Neodiprion lecontei: one gene and its partner. The protein of the gene in region 2 purifies or fractionates together with the protein of the main gene of each other region. This does not show direct contact. Links are inferred from orthologs where the notes say so. Each region holds a gene or a part of one and is shown on either strand. Other genes may lie near its edges.

Region 1 (7,804 bases), on a different chromosome or scaffold from region 2:
TTTCTTTTCGCATTTACTTTTCTATCAAATGTGTCTTTTTCTGGTATCAAAGGGTACTAAGATCGGTTTATGGATCGAACAGCTAATTTTAGTGGAGCGAAATTTGTGATCTAAATGGGGGATGAAACTTTACTTACCTCTCAATATAATGAAATTCAGTCTTAAACATTTCATAAAACTTGGTATCAACTAAAACCTATCTCTTATAGAAATACAATGTGTAATAAACATTTATAAAAATCATATATAATCCTAATCCTTGGGCCAATATCGATGTGGCTACCTTGCAAGGAAATTATTTTTACGCTCTAGCCTCGGCAGCGGTGGAATGATACTTTACTGGATATTTTGCAAAGGGTCAGTATACTATAGCCGATTAATTCCTAACGCAATTCTATGTAGGGTATGTTTACCTACACGATTGTGTGCAAAGTTGCAATTATTTATTCTCTCCGATAAAAGACGTACGATACCTGTAATGCAGAAGGTATGCCAAATATTATGAGCGTGTATTATAAGCTGTGATCATCCATTAATCATTACGTAGGACATAAAAATTGCCCATCATTCAGTCGGCAGATATCTATACACGTATGAATCACAGAAACTTTACTCCCTTCCTTCTGCCCCATATTCATTGGGTAATTTGACATGGAACTTCGGCTCAATTCCAGATGAAAATCATCGTTTGCTGAATGTGACGTCCCTTGTATATGAGACGTCTTCGAATGCGGTACATGTTTGCCAGTGTGAGGGTGCCGACCCCCCACATGGCCTACGCCCGCTCCATCTCTCCTCCGCTTGCATACATCTGCAATAGTGCCATTGATTCCTGCGCCTGTCGTTTCTCGGCTAAAAATCTTCCTGACGCCTCCTTCAGTTGCTCCAGGAATATCCTGCAGAAATTTTTTTCAAACACTCAACAGACTGCCCACATAATCACCCAACATGTTCTCTCTTCCCAAAAACTTCACCCATCCCTCACCTGTCAGGCACAATGTCTGCTAGACTTTCCGGATCCATATCACTTAGCAGTTCCAAGTCGTTTCCACCTAATAGCGAAATGTGGGTTGGATCTCCACGCAGTGAGGAGACCAGCGGCTTGATCTGTGCCCCATTCCCACGTTCCCTCCTTCTTGATGTTCCTTCTTTTCCACTATCCGTATCATCCAGCAGAACATAGCGTGATGTACTAGCTGAGCTTCCAGCAGCTGACCATCTTTGATGGCCACACAGGACCATCAAGCTTGTATTTCTCTCAAGCGTAGCAAAGTATTCTTCGTCGTCTACCTCGGTACCTGCGCAATTCACACTTCATTAAGGTTGTCAATCACCAGATAATCGATATTTACAATCTAAAATAACAATACTTACCATCCTGTTCCAAAACAATGGTCAGGTGCTCTTCTTGTGGCAAGTCAAATCGGTTTCTAGCTATGGCAGTGAGTTCTTTTAGTGACGAGGCTGTAATGCCCTTGCGTCTTTCTCTCGCATGATCAATTATCTTATACGGGGAAGCTGTTGCTTGTACTGCCCCTGCAGTGTCTGACATCCTGAAATTAGATTGGCGTTGTATAAATGTCATGAAAATAAAATGTTCTGATAAGCCATAAGAATTCACACAGAGTTTCTTTCATTGCTTAGTCTTATTGGAAGTATAGTATAATAATTTCTTGATATATATTTGTAATGAAAAATTCAAGAATCTAGAAAGCTGTTTGGATAAAATTATATCATTGAAAAACGTGTTTGGAACATATCCTTTCAATATATCCTTATTCAAAGTGGCTCTCAATCGTTTTTTCACAAAGTGTTTAATGTTGATAGATAGATTGGGTCTTATAATGGTTTTCCTTACCTTGTTTTATTTATATCACCAGAGATATGATATCAATATTAAAATTACCAAAGTGATTGTTTAGAACACAGTCGAATTATGGGTCTTTCACGTTCAACTTTTTACTCGATAATCACTTGGGTGAAATCACAGTGATAAACTGTAAATATATGTAAGGATAATATGACACTATTAGGCAATGAAACTTTCTCAATTAATTTTGAGCAAACTTCTGTTTAACAGGGTATTTTAATAGGATGACAATACGCAATTTGGTGAGCACTGTATGAATACTGAATGTAGGCAAAAGAGGGTGGAATCCGAATGCAATCTCTTAAGCTGTTCGCTGGCTATGGTGGTTGTCAGTGGTGTGGCAATTCAATATGATTATATCACTACTGTACAGACGTAGAGTAAAAAAGAAAGTATCATTTGTTGGCCACTGAACCGACTTTGCACCAACTGAACACTGGGTCAATGGTGTAACCACCCTTCCTATTTATACACTCAGTACTCTCTGTATATACATAGAATAACCAGACAGGCAACTCCTCCCTTTACCAACATGGCACCCAGACTGAAATCAATAATAGTGACCTCAGATCTGCAAGTGCATGGTGGAGGATCTCCTTTTTTCTTTTCTTTTTTAAACGCTGTTTTGCTCTCCACTTTCGTTTCAGATGTATTATACATTTTTTCAATTTTGAACTTCATAGGTGGGACACTTTGGCTTCAAGATTGAGGATAATCATAAGTTTTTGTGAATAGCAAATATGAAGTTTGATTAGTTGATGGGATTTCTACGTCAATGCATTTACTATTGGAGCAGAGTCCAATTTTAATAGAATTAAATGATTCACCTATATCTACATGTATTTTGAGGAATATAAAAAACATGCTGAGGCATACTCGGGCCTTGGGTACCTACATCGCTGCAGGGGATAAATTTAGCCGAATGAGACTAGACAGCGTATCAAGTTTAAAGTTAGCCTGGGCTTAGTCCAGTTCAGGCATCTAGGTGAGCTCTGGCTAGCGTTTAGTAAACTAGTTCAATTATTAAGTATCCATATTGAAATTAAATAAGGGTGTGATGCCACAAACTTTGAATAAACCACCCGAGGACAGCCAGGCGTGGGAGTTGTTAGAACGATGTCTTTTGCCATTCGTATTCTCACACGCGGTTGCAGTTATCGTTGCCACGATTCTCAACACTTTCGGTATTTCGCAGATATCTAGTTTTGTACTGTTTCTTCTATTTCTCAGCGTATCTCTCGGCTCTACTTTATTCTATCACAATCTAAAGGTAAACTATCACACTTGCCTAACAAAGAGAAATAAAGTCAATTATTCAAAGTGAAATATCCGCAAGTTTAACGATTGAGGCCATAATAGCGACATCGCTACGTATTACTAAATACAGTGATGAAGAAAATTATTATCATAGGTAACTGCGGCTGGAAAGGCAATATTGATAACAGGATGTGACTCCAGGGTAGGAAATGCTTTGGCGAAGCAGCTGGACGACTTGGTATATAAAAATAAAAACCTACAAAATATCGATATGCACAATCATTACAATGATAACTCGATAATAATATGTCCATTGTTAAATATCTTTCAAGGGGTTCACAGTTTTTGCGACTTTTTCAAACAAGAACGAGAACAATGAGATAGCGTGCAAACTAAAAGATCAATGCTCAGGAAGACTGCGTGTTCTGCAACTGGATGTAACAAGCGAGCGTGATATCCATTCAACTTTCCTCTACGTCAATGAGCACTTGCCCGACGGAGCTCCAGGTAAATAGACCAGCCAGAGTTACGTTACTTAGTCTGAAAAAGTCAAATCAAGCATTCCAATTTAATTATAGGTTTGTGGGGTTTGGTACATGCTGACGCCTGGGTGGCGCTAGGAGAATGTGAGTGGATTCCATCTTCGGTGCTAAAGCGTAGCGTGGAAGTTAACTTCATTGGAGTATCGAGACTGACGCAGGTAAAAACATTTGTACAACAAGTTTGCTAAACTATGACACTTGCATATTATTATTTTTATCGTGCAATAGGTATTCCTTCCACTAGTGAGACGCTCTAAGGGACGCGTTATACTTGTAGGAAGCCTTTTCGCAAGAATCCCAAGCCCAGTGCGAGGGATACATTGTGCAGTAAAGGTAAGAAGACCGGAGGTGACAAACTCGGTTGTGCATAATGAATTGCAATAGGTTTTTAAAATTATTACTCTGAACACCGGCTACTTTGATAAGGAAGCGCAAATTTGAAATCAGGATAAAACTGTACGCTATCTGACTAATGGAAATTCATAGTATTTTTTATTTTGGTTTGTGAATCTGTAAAGGCGCTAGTTTCTGTATGTGTTCCGAGGTCTCTAAAGCAGCTCAACCCCTTGCTATGCTTTTTTTTATTTCATGTACGTTATTCATTGAGAATAGTTTTAGTACATATTTTATGACAATATGATTGAAGCACAATACTTGAATTTTTCCCAAATATTTTATGTAATCTGCGCAAGAGTATATCGTGGGGAACTGAAAATCAACTGATTTTGTTTATAGACCGTATATTTTCTCCGAAAAAAAAACTGTACTACTGCACGTAGGTCCCTAAAATATGCAAAAAACTTACAGGCAGCGGTAGAGGCATGGGGAAATTGCTTACGTTTGGAAATGCGGAGATGGGGTGTGGATGTTGTTATAGTTGAGACCGGGGAATATGTGTCGGGCAGTGCCTGGCTGAAAGACAATGCCTCTCTGCTGGAGCAGGCAAGAGATATGTGGACACAGCTCGACCCCCAAACACGGCGTGAGTATGGTCAAGAATTATTCCAAAAGGAGATGATTGCCTTAGAGAGATACACGCTTGGTCCGGAGGCGGATCTGACTCAAACTACCAGAGCTTTGACCGACGCTACAGTGAGAACGTTCCCATTGAGGCGATACATGCCTGTGTCTCGTGGAGAGAGAATAAGAGCGCTACTAAGTGATCACCTGCCAAAACCTATATACGACATACTATACACGGATTGAATGGTTCGTAAATCAATTGCAGATCTGTTCCTTTAGTTTGTTGCTCATTTCTCCTATTTAATCGAAGAGAAAAAGAAATTTATGATATTCTGGCAGTCAATGAAATCCCTTGAAATGATTACTGTATATATATTGACTTGATGTATTTTCATAGTTGATCGTTCGAACACATTTCAAGGCTTTATAAATAAATGGGCGTACCATCAAGGCATACGATTTATTGTCCCCCTCCCACGCTCGAAAAAACCGTCTGCGCAATAAATATCGTATCTCCTCCACCCGCAGTCTACACTCAGTTTTTTTGGTGAGGACGTTGTGCTCAGTTTTTGCGCTCTTGGCTAGAATGACAGGAATGACAGGTTCGTTTCAAGATCAGTTCTCGGTCAAAGAGATTCTCGGCCTCTCCGCAGATGGCGTTATTTTTAAAACAGCGTAGATGATCCCCGTCGCTGAATGAAGATGTATGAAGACTGGTAGCTCAGCGTTATTTTTCGAAATGATTTACCGGATCTGAGCGGGTTTGGGGGTAAATTCTACGACTCTGCCACTTACCGACTCGTCTTGTGGGATCCCAATGTTGAATAAAATTGGTATTGCAGAATACTGCAATTTTCGGCATTCTTTAAGGATACTGACGAACTGTGATGCAATCAAGGCACACTGCATTGCGGGTAACGAAGGGTTCTGTCTTATCCATTATTCGTCGAATTCGGAGGGTGAGTTAACGTGAGTCATAACCTCACCTCGTCGATCGACGTACGCATTTCAATGTAAATCCATCAGTTTTTGAATTTATATTACAATGATCGAGTCGTGTACAAAAAAGCGGATGCTCATAGCCGTCACTTTTTTAGGAGGGTCTGTTCTCATTTCTATCAATAACACTTATCAGCTTGAAAATTCATACCCACGTTTTCAGTTGCTGTAAACCACTAGCGATAATAACCTAAGAGTGGATTTTCTCTTTTAATATTAGTTCAGTATCAGTACCCTGATTAACGATATTTTCAAAATTGTTATCGTTCGCATTGTTGACCAATAAAAATGTGTCATCATTTTTGCGCAAAGCTATGTAGCGTGATCCCCATTTTTTGCTTATATATACATGTATATAACCATACTGTAACTTTTGCAAGAGATGTGTTGTACTTACAAAAAAACATTTCTTCCAGGTTGACGATACTCGTCTTGATTATTGAAAGCAATTGGACAGACACGGACAGCAGCAAGGCATTTGTAGAGTCTGTCGAAAAGAATTCGAGCTGTTATCTCAATGAAGAATTTGATGTGATATTAGAGTGTCATCCGTGTACAGCTTTCGAAATAGCGAGCGAAAGCATCGGCGTCTGCATTCATACAAGCAACAAGGAAGTGTTGAAATGTCGCAAGAGTGGTATAACTGTAACCAGAAGGTAAGGATTGTTATTATGATTGTTTTCATGATTTGTGATAACTCCACATTTTACTTGAACTGGTTCATTTATCTTTTTACATTTTGTACTCTTTTCAGTTGTGATAAAGTTGCTTGGCTGGAGGAGCGCAGTTTCTGGAGATTTGAAGGCCTTATGTTTGGTCTCGCTGTCTTATCTTGCATCAGCGTCTACTGGAGGGAGAACATCTTGCGGCAAAGAATAGTCAGAAAAGTGGCTAGACAACTCAGAGCTAGTGTGTAGATTGGCGGTACCGACCAGCTCAGGTTCTGAAAAAAATATAAAATTCACATAGTATAATTTGAACTGCATTTCTGTAGCATTCAGACTTTCAAGAGTTGTGACACTATCGTACACGATATAAAAAAAAAGGACTATGGAAACCAACCAGCTTTTCCTGGAGGTTCATTCCATTGCAGATTTGTGCCTCGCCCCGATAGAGACCATAATAACATTGTTCACGATAAAATACTGTGATTCTCGCGTATCGATTAACTTGGTTGTAACAAAAAAAACACGCAATGAGGAACGGTCTAATTTTATTGATCTGTCCGGGTTTACTTACACAGTTATGGAAGTAGACAAATTACCACGATATGCGAGTACGTGCGACCTTCCAAACGTAATAGTTAACGAGACGACATGTGTGGCTGGGCTCTGCGCGACCCTACGTCAAATAGTAAAAAGTAGGTGTTTTGAAACGCCATTGCACTACAGCAAAGCCTTACTAGGATTTAAGGATGCATGTTTGCTGGCCTGCTCGGAGTCGAGTATCTGGACAAAGTTTTGCGAGGTGGATTTAATCTCGACCCTGAAATCTATCCATGGTCAAACTTCAAGTAGCGATACGAATGAGATTCCTGAAAGCATCGCAAGATTTGAATGTCATATGTCGCAGCCAGTGAGATTGCACAATTTGTACAAGTATACAATGTCGAAAAAATTTTCCATCAATGGCACTATGACGGGTAACAGGGATAAAATACCAGAACACATTTATGCGGAGGGATCTCAAATCACATTGGCGGATATCATAATATTTGTCTGCATCCACACATTTTTTACACTCCACGCATTGAGATGTGAATTGTTAGAACTCATACCACTGACAGCAAAGTGGTACACGAGGATGCTTTCGAGTGAAATGATATCTGAAAGTTTGAGATGTTTAAGACACTTGGAATCTCCGAGCTTTGAGAACCGGGTTACCAGCTATGTTCTTCCCGACGTTGAAAACCATAGCCTGTATAAGAGCGATCCAAAGCGATACAAGCCTCGTAATCGCATTTACACAAAGCAAGTTGACATAGATGATTCATTTGCATTAATCAGTGAGCTAGGCATCAGCATCGAGCTTGCATCGGAACCGTTTGGATCGGAAATGACATTGAACTGGGATGAAATCCCGTTTGAAGCAACGCCAGAGGGAGGTGCATTGCCCGAAACGAGACTGAAGCGTAAGTTTGAGCAGTTAGAAAATTTGTGCAGGCCTGTAATGG
Region 2 (5,130 bases):
TGATTAGTTCGGTAACAATTTTATCGGGCCGCATATGATGTGAAACGTTTTCGTTTTAAATCTCTGTGAGGTTGGGTGAAAATATTTTATACTTTTCAGACCGTTTTAGAAACGTTGTAAATTTGGAATAAAAAAAAAAAAAAAAAAAAAAAATTGTTTAAATAATTGTTTTCTGCTTTTTAATATTCTGTGTGTAGAATATTCGAGATCTAATCTCAGTCGAAGCTAATCGAATTATTTTTTTCTCATTATTTCAAATCAACGAATAATATTGCATTGGCATCAAGTTCTGAGCTATGTTTAAAGTTTTAAGTCTCTAACTCGTCGTTAAACTCAAACTCGATGATCATTTGCATGATATAACGTATGATACATATACCACTTAGAAGTCAGAAGAATCGATAGAATAAATTATTGTCTGATAATATAATTCGTTGATTTTACGAGACGGTCAATGTCTGGCTTAATTTTCAATCTCCTTATTTTCGTTTCCTGTTATTTTTTTTTTTTGTCAATTTCTATCCGGTATTTCGTTCCGGTATAAACATTGGACGAGTGACAAAAAAAAAAAAAAAATCGGAACATAACAAATCATAACTGGCTGATAAATAAGAGGAATTACAATGAATTAGAAACGCGGATGTAAAAACAAACCGAAGTGATCGGACAGGTTGTTTAATCAGCGATGTTGATCGGTTGCGAAAAAACAAACTTAAAACAAAACACAAAATTTATTGATTACAGAAAACAAAGCCTGATGAAACTCGAAAATAAATAAATAAATCTTGTTCATCGTTTTTATACTGAAATGAAAATTATGTCTTTTACAAGCAAATATATGTTTGCTTGTTCTTCCTTGTTTTCTTCATTCTATAATTAGATATTTGTTTGTTTGGATCGAATAAGACTGACTTGCTCCTGATAAATTTTCTAGAGGATCGAGGCAAGTCTAATGGCGTTTCGAAAAATTTATGGCTTTGTGAATCAACAAAATTGACTAATGAATTCGAATAAGATTATCTTAATCAGGGTAATTTTTACGTTCTACATTATATGAGTCAATTTAAATCGTATTAAAAAAATCTTTCGGTAGGTGATTACAGGTTTTTAATTGTCTGAATAATCCTTGAACGATATTTACTTGTTCCTAGTGAAAATAAAAAAAAAAAAAATCAAATAAATAAATAAATTAAGGAACAACTTGAACACGGGGAATTTTTTAAATTCAATCGCGTTTCATTCGAATCAAGCAAATCCATACTGGTTAAATTTCACGAAAGAAAAGTTTCAGTTTTACGTGTAGATGCACATGCATAAAGTGTATTACACGTATTTAAAAAATAATTGAATCGTGTTTTTTACCTCCCTTTAAAAACGATAATTGGAAAAAATAGTGATCGAATAAAACTTCCCCATCACCTATTTATTCATAAAATATATATATATTTAAATGTATGTTATCGAACGTAGCAACCATTCAAATCTCGTAAAAAAGAAAAAATCGAATCTTTCCCTCGGTGTGAAAATTGTCCTTTGAGGAAAATCTTTGAAAATCAAGGGCAGAAACGAAAAACCAGGATCAACGCTTGGTGGGGCAGAAAGGGGCTGGTGACCCAGTTTCGGGGGAAACGTTGAAATCGAATTTGCAGAGGTTCGTTAGGCGGACGGAGATGATTCGTCGATGTAATCGACCTTGACCGAGACTCGCGCAACCGGAAGCGGATGTTCCTAGTTCCACGTGCAGCTACATTGACGGGGTTGGAAAAATGAGAGCATCGACGCTGGGGTCTTGGACCACTCGATAAAGCCGGCAACTGCAAATCCGGCCGGGCTTATGCACTTGCAATTGCGGTTGCATCAGGCGTCACCCGAATGCGGGGGAGGAAGCTGGGACGTGATCGCGTAATCTCTAGTCTCTCAATATTCATCTTATGCTGATGAGAATTTGTTAGCGGAGGGGGGAAAAAAACGTGTTTACAAAGAAATATCGACACTCGGAAGAGTGATCCTTTATGGAAACTGCACTGAGAGAATTTTCATTTGTTACAGTAACGAGAAAAATTCAGTAAAACAGGTATCGTTGAAAAAACTGTTTGAATATTGTTGGGATTACGGAAAACGAGGTACGCGTAAACATTTTGCGCTATCGTCGATGGTTTTTTGGTTATCGCAACGCGAAATCAGTTTCTGAGGTTTCACTCTACTTTTTTAGTTGAACAAGGCTTTAACGTCAATTTATCGTTGCACGAGCGTTAAATTTTCGCAACAGTTGCAAGAAAATATAGCAACAGTGATCGTAATGAGAAAGAACAGTAACGGATACTAGACTTTTCGGTAACAGTAAACTAATTTTCCGCCGAGTTTTGACTAAAAACAAAAACTTGCATTCGGAACTCGACCCGAACACTTGTAACCGATCAGATTTAACGATCATCCGGTAATTTCCCGGCTCGATTAAGTTGGCGTTAAGTGTTTAGCACGGATCAACGATACGACAAATTATAAAATACAACTCACATTAAACTTTGCGCAGGCCTTGCTTTTAAGCTCCTGAAAATCCTTGCAAGCGACTCCGAATCTCCGAGTGCGATCGGCATTTGTCACTCGGTATCCCTTGATCTGAAAAAAAGGTTGAAAGAACAATACCAGTCAGTAATGTAAATCACAAATACAGTGATGTAAATTTTTTTAGCGACCGTTTTAAATCACCTCTTTCTCATCGTTAACCGGCCGAGAGTCTTCGCCTTTCATTACGCGACGGAGCCGATCAACGATGACGGACATGTTCTTTCCCGCAGAGTTCCGATCGAGAAAGTAGCGAAGAACGGGAAGAAACGGGGAAAAACCGAGCCGCTCGGTAAGTTAGGAAACTGCTTACCGACGCCGAGTCTACGAACGACGCGTGGCCCGATACGCACTACGAACAGCTGTTCGCTTCCTGCGAGACGCGTCCCAACCAAACCTGACTCTTGTTAATCGCTCCGCGGATCGTTCGTACCGAGTATTTTTCACATCGGAAATTTGAAACGATCTTCGGAACGCGACGAACGGAACCGGATGCCGAATTTAAGAGGGGCTTCGACTAGTTCATGATCCGACGGATCCGCCGACGAGCGACGGACGCCGCGACGCCAGGAGAGCCCAGGAGAGACTGGAGAGGAATCGTCGATCCTCTTTTATCTCTGCGCAGTCGCGTTGCGCGACTGCGTTTTTCCCTGCTAGCCTGCAAAACTCGCACAGCGTGCAAAAGTCGCTCGAACGCGTCGCGATTTTCGAACGAATACTCGTGCTTTTTATGCGGTCCATATTATTGGCATATTGGGGATAAATAAAAAATTCCTCTCTATCTTATTGTTAATTACTATTAATAACGAATAATGCAGCTGGACGTACGCTGAGAAAAATTTCATTTGTTACAGTAACCAGAAAAATTCAGTAAAACGGGTATCCTTGAAAAAAAAATCTGTTTGAATATTGTTGGAATTGCGAAAAACGAGGTACGCGTAAACATTTTGCGCTATCGTCGATCCTTTTTTGCTTATCGCAGCGCAAAATCAGCTTCTGAGAGGTTTACTCTACTTTTTTAGTCAAACAAGGCTTTAACGTCAATTTATTCTTGCACGAGAATTAAACTTTCGCAACAGTTGCAAAAAAATACAGCAACAGTGGTAGTAATGAGAAAGAATAGTTACGGATACTAGACTTTCTGGTAACAGCTGGAAAACTAATTTTCATTTTGTACCTAAAACTATATTTTTCGATTGTGGTAAAAAATAAAAATATTTAAGGACCGAGCGGTAACCGGAACTAAAAATTTCTCTCAGTGTAGGTCGGGTTCGATGTAATTCAAAATAAGTTTATAAAAAGAAAAGATCTCTTGTCGTACAGAGGAAAATTTTAAGACACCTAATTTCAATTATAACGAAGTCGGAAAAATCACGCTATTTTATTATTAACATTTCTTACCGTTTGATAATAATTGTAGCTCATTTTATTTATATATGAGATTCCTGACCTCACCAGTTATTGCTTAAAAACATTCGATATTCAGAATCGTGACAATTTGATTCAATATTCTAACTTTATTTAAATTCGCTTAGATGGGAGTTCTTAAATACTCGTTTTATCGCATCTTTATTTAAATATTTGTTTTTTTTTTTTTGGACTCCCATTTCGTTCGAATCGACGAAATCGGAACATCAGAAAGTTTAATTATAAATATTGATGAATTAGTTTTGAACCGGTAATATGACAAGTTCGTCGAATTATTTAAAGGTCATTCCAAGTATATCGATTATTGTTACATATACGATAAAACTTTGCAGTTCAGATAAATAATCAGTGTAACGCGTTCGATTAATATTATGTAAATCAAATAAATGATCAAATATTTGAATTAATCATTTTACAATGAAAACAAACAGAATTCAATCGAGTGCAATAAGTCTAGCCTGAAAAATTTCACCATGTCAATTGCACTGATTGTGAGTTTGATTTGTTCAATGTCCTCGGTATAAAATATAATTAAACTTGATTCCAAAATTCTACCGTCAAATGTAATAGTTAGTATTTTACTGTAGAATTCGAGTTCACGAAAAATAAGAAAAAGAAAAACCCGCATTTACTAATTTGCTTTAATCTAATACGACAGTTTAAGGGGGGGAGCCTGCTTTAGAGGCTTTAAAAAATCGGTTTTTTCGAGGATTTTTTTGGGAAGGAAAGAAATATCCGATTGAAACGAAACTTTCAGGGTTTATTGTTATGTATTTCAACAGTCTTCTCGAATTTTTTCATTAGGATACATGTCATATTATGCCTGGTACAAGCATTTCACCGAGGCGTCTCGAGTGTGCATTTGTCGTGCGGCGGGAAAGGTGCAGGTCGCAATTTCCGTCTGAAACAAAGAACCCAAAAAAATTTTTACTTCTCAATAGTATAGTTTCTAGTTAAACCAAGAAAATTCAACAAAAAGTGAAAAATTCAACAATTTTTCGCAAATTAAAAAAAAAATTCACTTTAGATTGTTTAAAAAGTGGGTTAATCTTGACTTTCTTAAAGTTTTTTAGGTTCAACTAGAAAAGAATTTAATCCCGAGTAGAATGCAATTTGTCTCGTTTCGATAGGACGTTT

Evidence for each region.
Region 1: the proteins of DNA fragmentation factor subunit beta (region 2) and DNA fragmentation factor subunit alpha fractionate together in Drosophila melanogaster (co-fractionation; 3 studies listed by BioGRID, with this or other methods). This does not show direct contact. The link is inferred for Neodiprion lecontei from reciprocal best matches to the Drosophila melanogaster genes Drep4 and Drep1.

Annotation. Positions count from the first base shown.
Region 1 is NC_060264.1:25,801,786-25,809,589, reverse strand, and holds DNA fragmentation factor subunit alpha, read right to left. Parts: upstream 6,048-7,804; 5' UTR 6,029-6,047; intron 5,734-6,028; coding exon of another isoform or gene 5,678-5,733; exon of another isoform or gene 5,646-5,677; coding exon of another isoform or gene 5,644-5,645; exon of another isoform or gene 5,586-5,643; intron 5,447-5,585; exon of another isoform or gene 5,428-5,446; intron 5,316-5,427; exon of another isoform or gene 4,876-5,315; coding exon of another isoform or gene 4,477-4,875; intron 4,003-4,476; coding exon of another isoform or gene 3,898-4,002; intron 3,828-3,897; coding exon of another isoform or gene 3,706-3,827; intron 3,635-3,705; coding exon of another isoform or gene 3,460-3,634; intron 3,366-3,459; coding exon of another isoform or gene 3,282-3,365; intron 3,141-3,281; coding exon of another isoform or gene 2,928-3,140; exon of another isoform or gene 1,859-2,927; intron 1,554-1,858; 5' UTR 1,553-1,553; coding exon 1,375-1,552; intron 1,299-1,374; coding exon 986-1,298; intron 897-985; coding exon 776-896; 3' UTR 11-775; downstream 1-10. Other genes in the region: D-beta-hydroxybutyrate dehydrogenase, mitochondrial, read left to right, coding at 2,928-3,140, 3,282-3,365, 3,460-3,634, 3,706-3,827, 3,898-4,002, 4,477-4,875; protein JTB, read left to right, coding at 5,678-5,733, 6,048-6,287, 6,386-6,548; glutathione S-transferase C-terminal domain-containing protein homolog, read left to right, coding at 6,682-7,804.
Region 2 is NC_060263.1:37,513,233-37,518,362, reverse strand, and holds the start of DNA fragmentation factor subunit beta, read right to left. Parts: upstream 3,157-5,130; 5' UTR 2,785-3,156; coding exon 2,710-2,784; intron 2,620-2,709; coding exon 2,518-2,619; intron 1-2,517.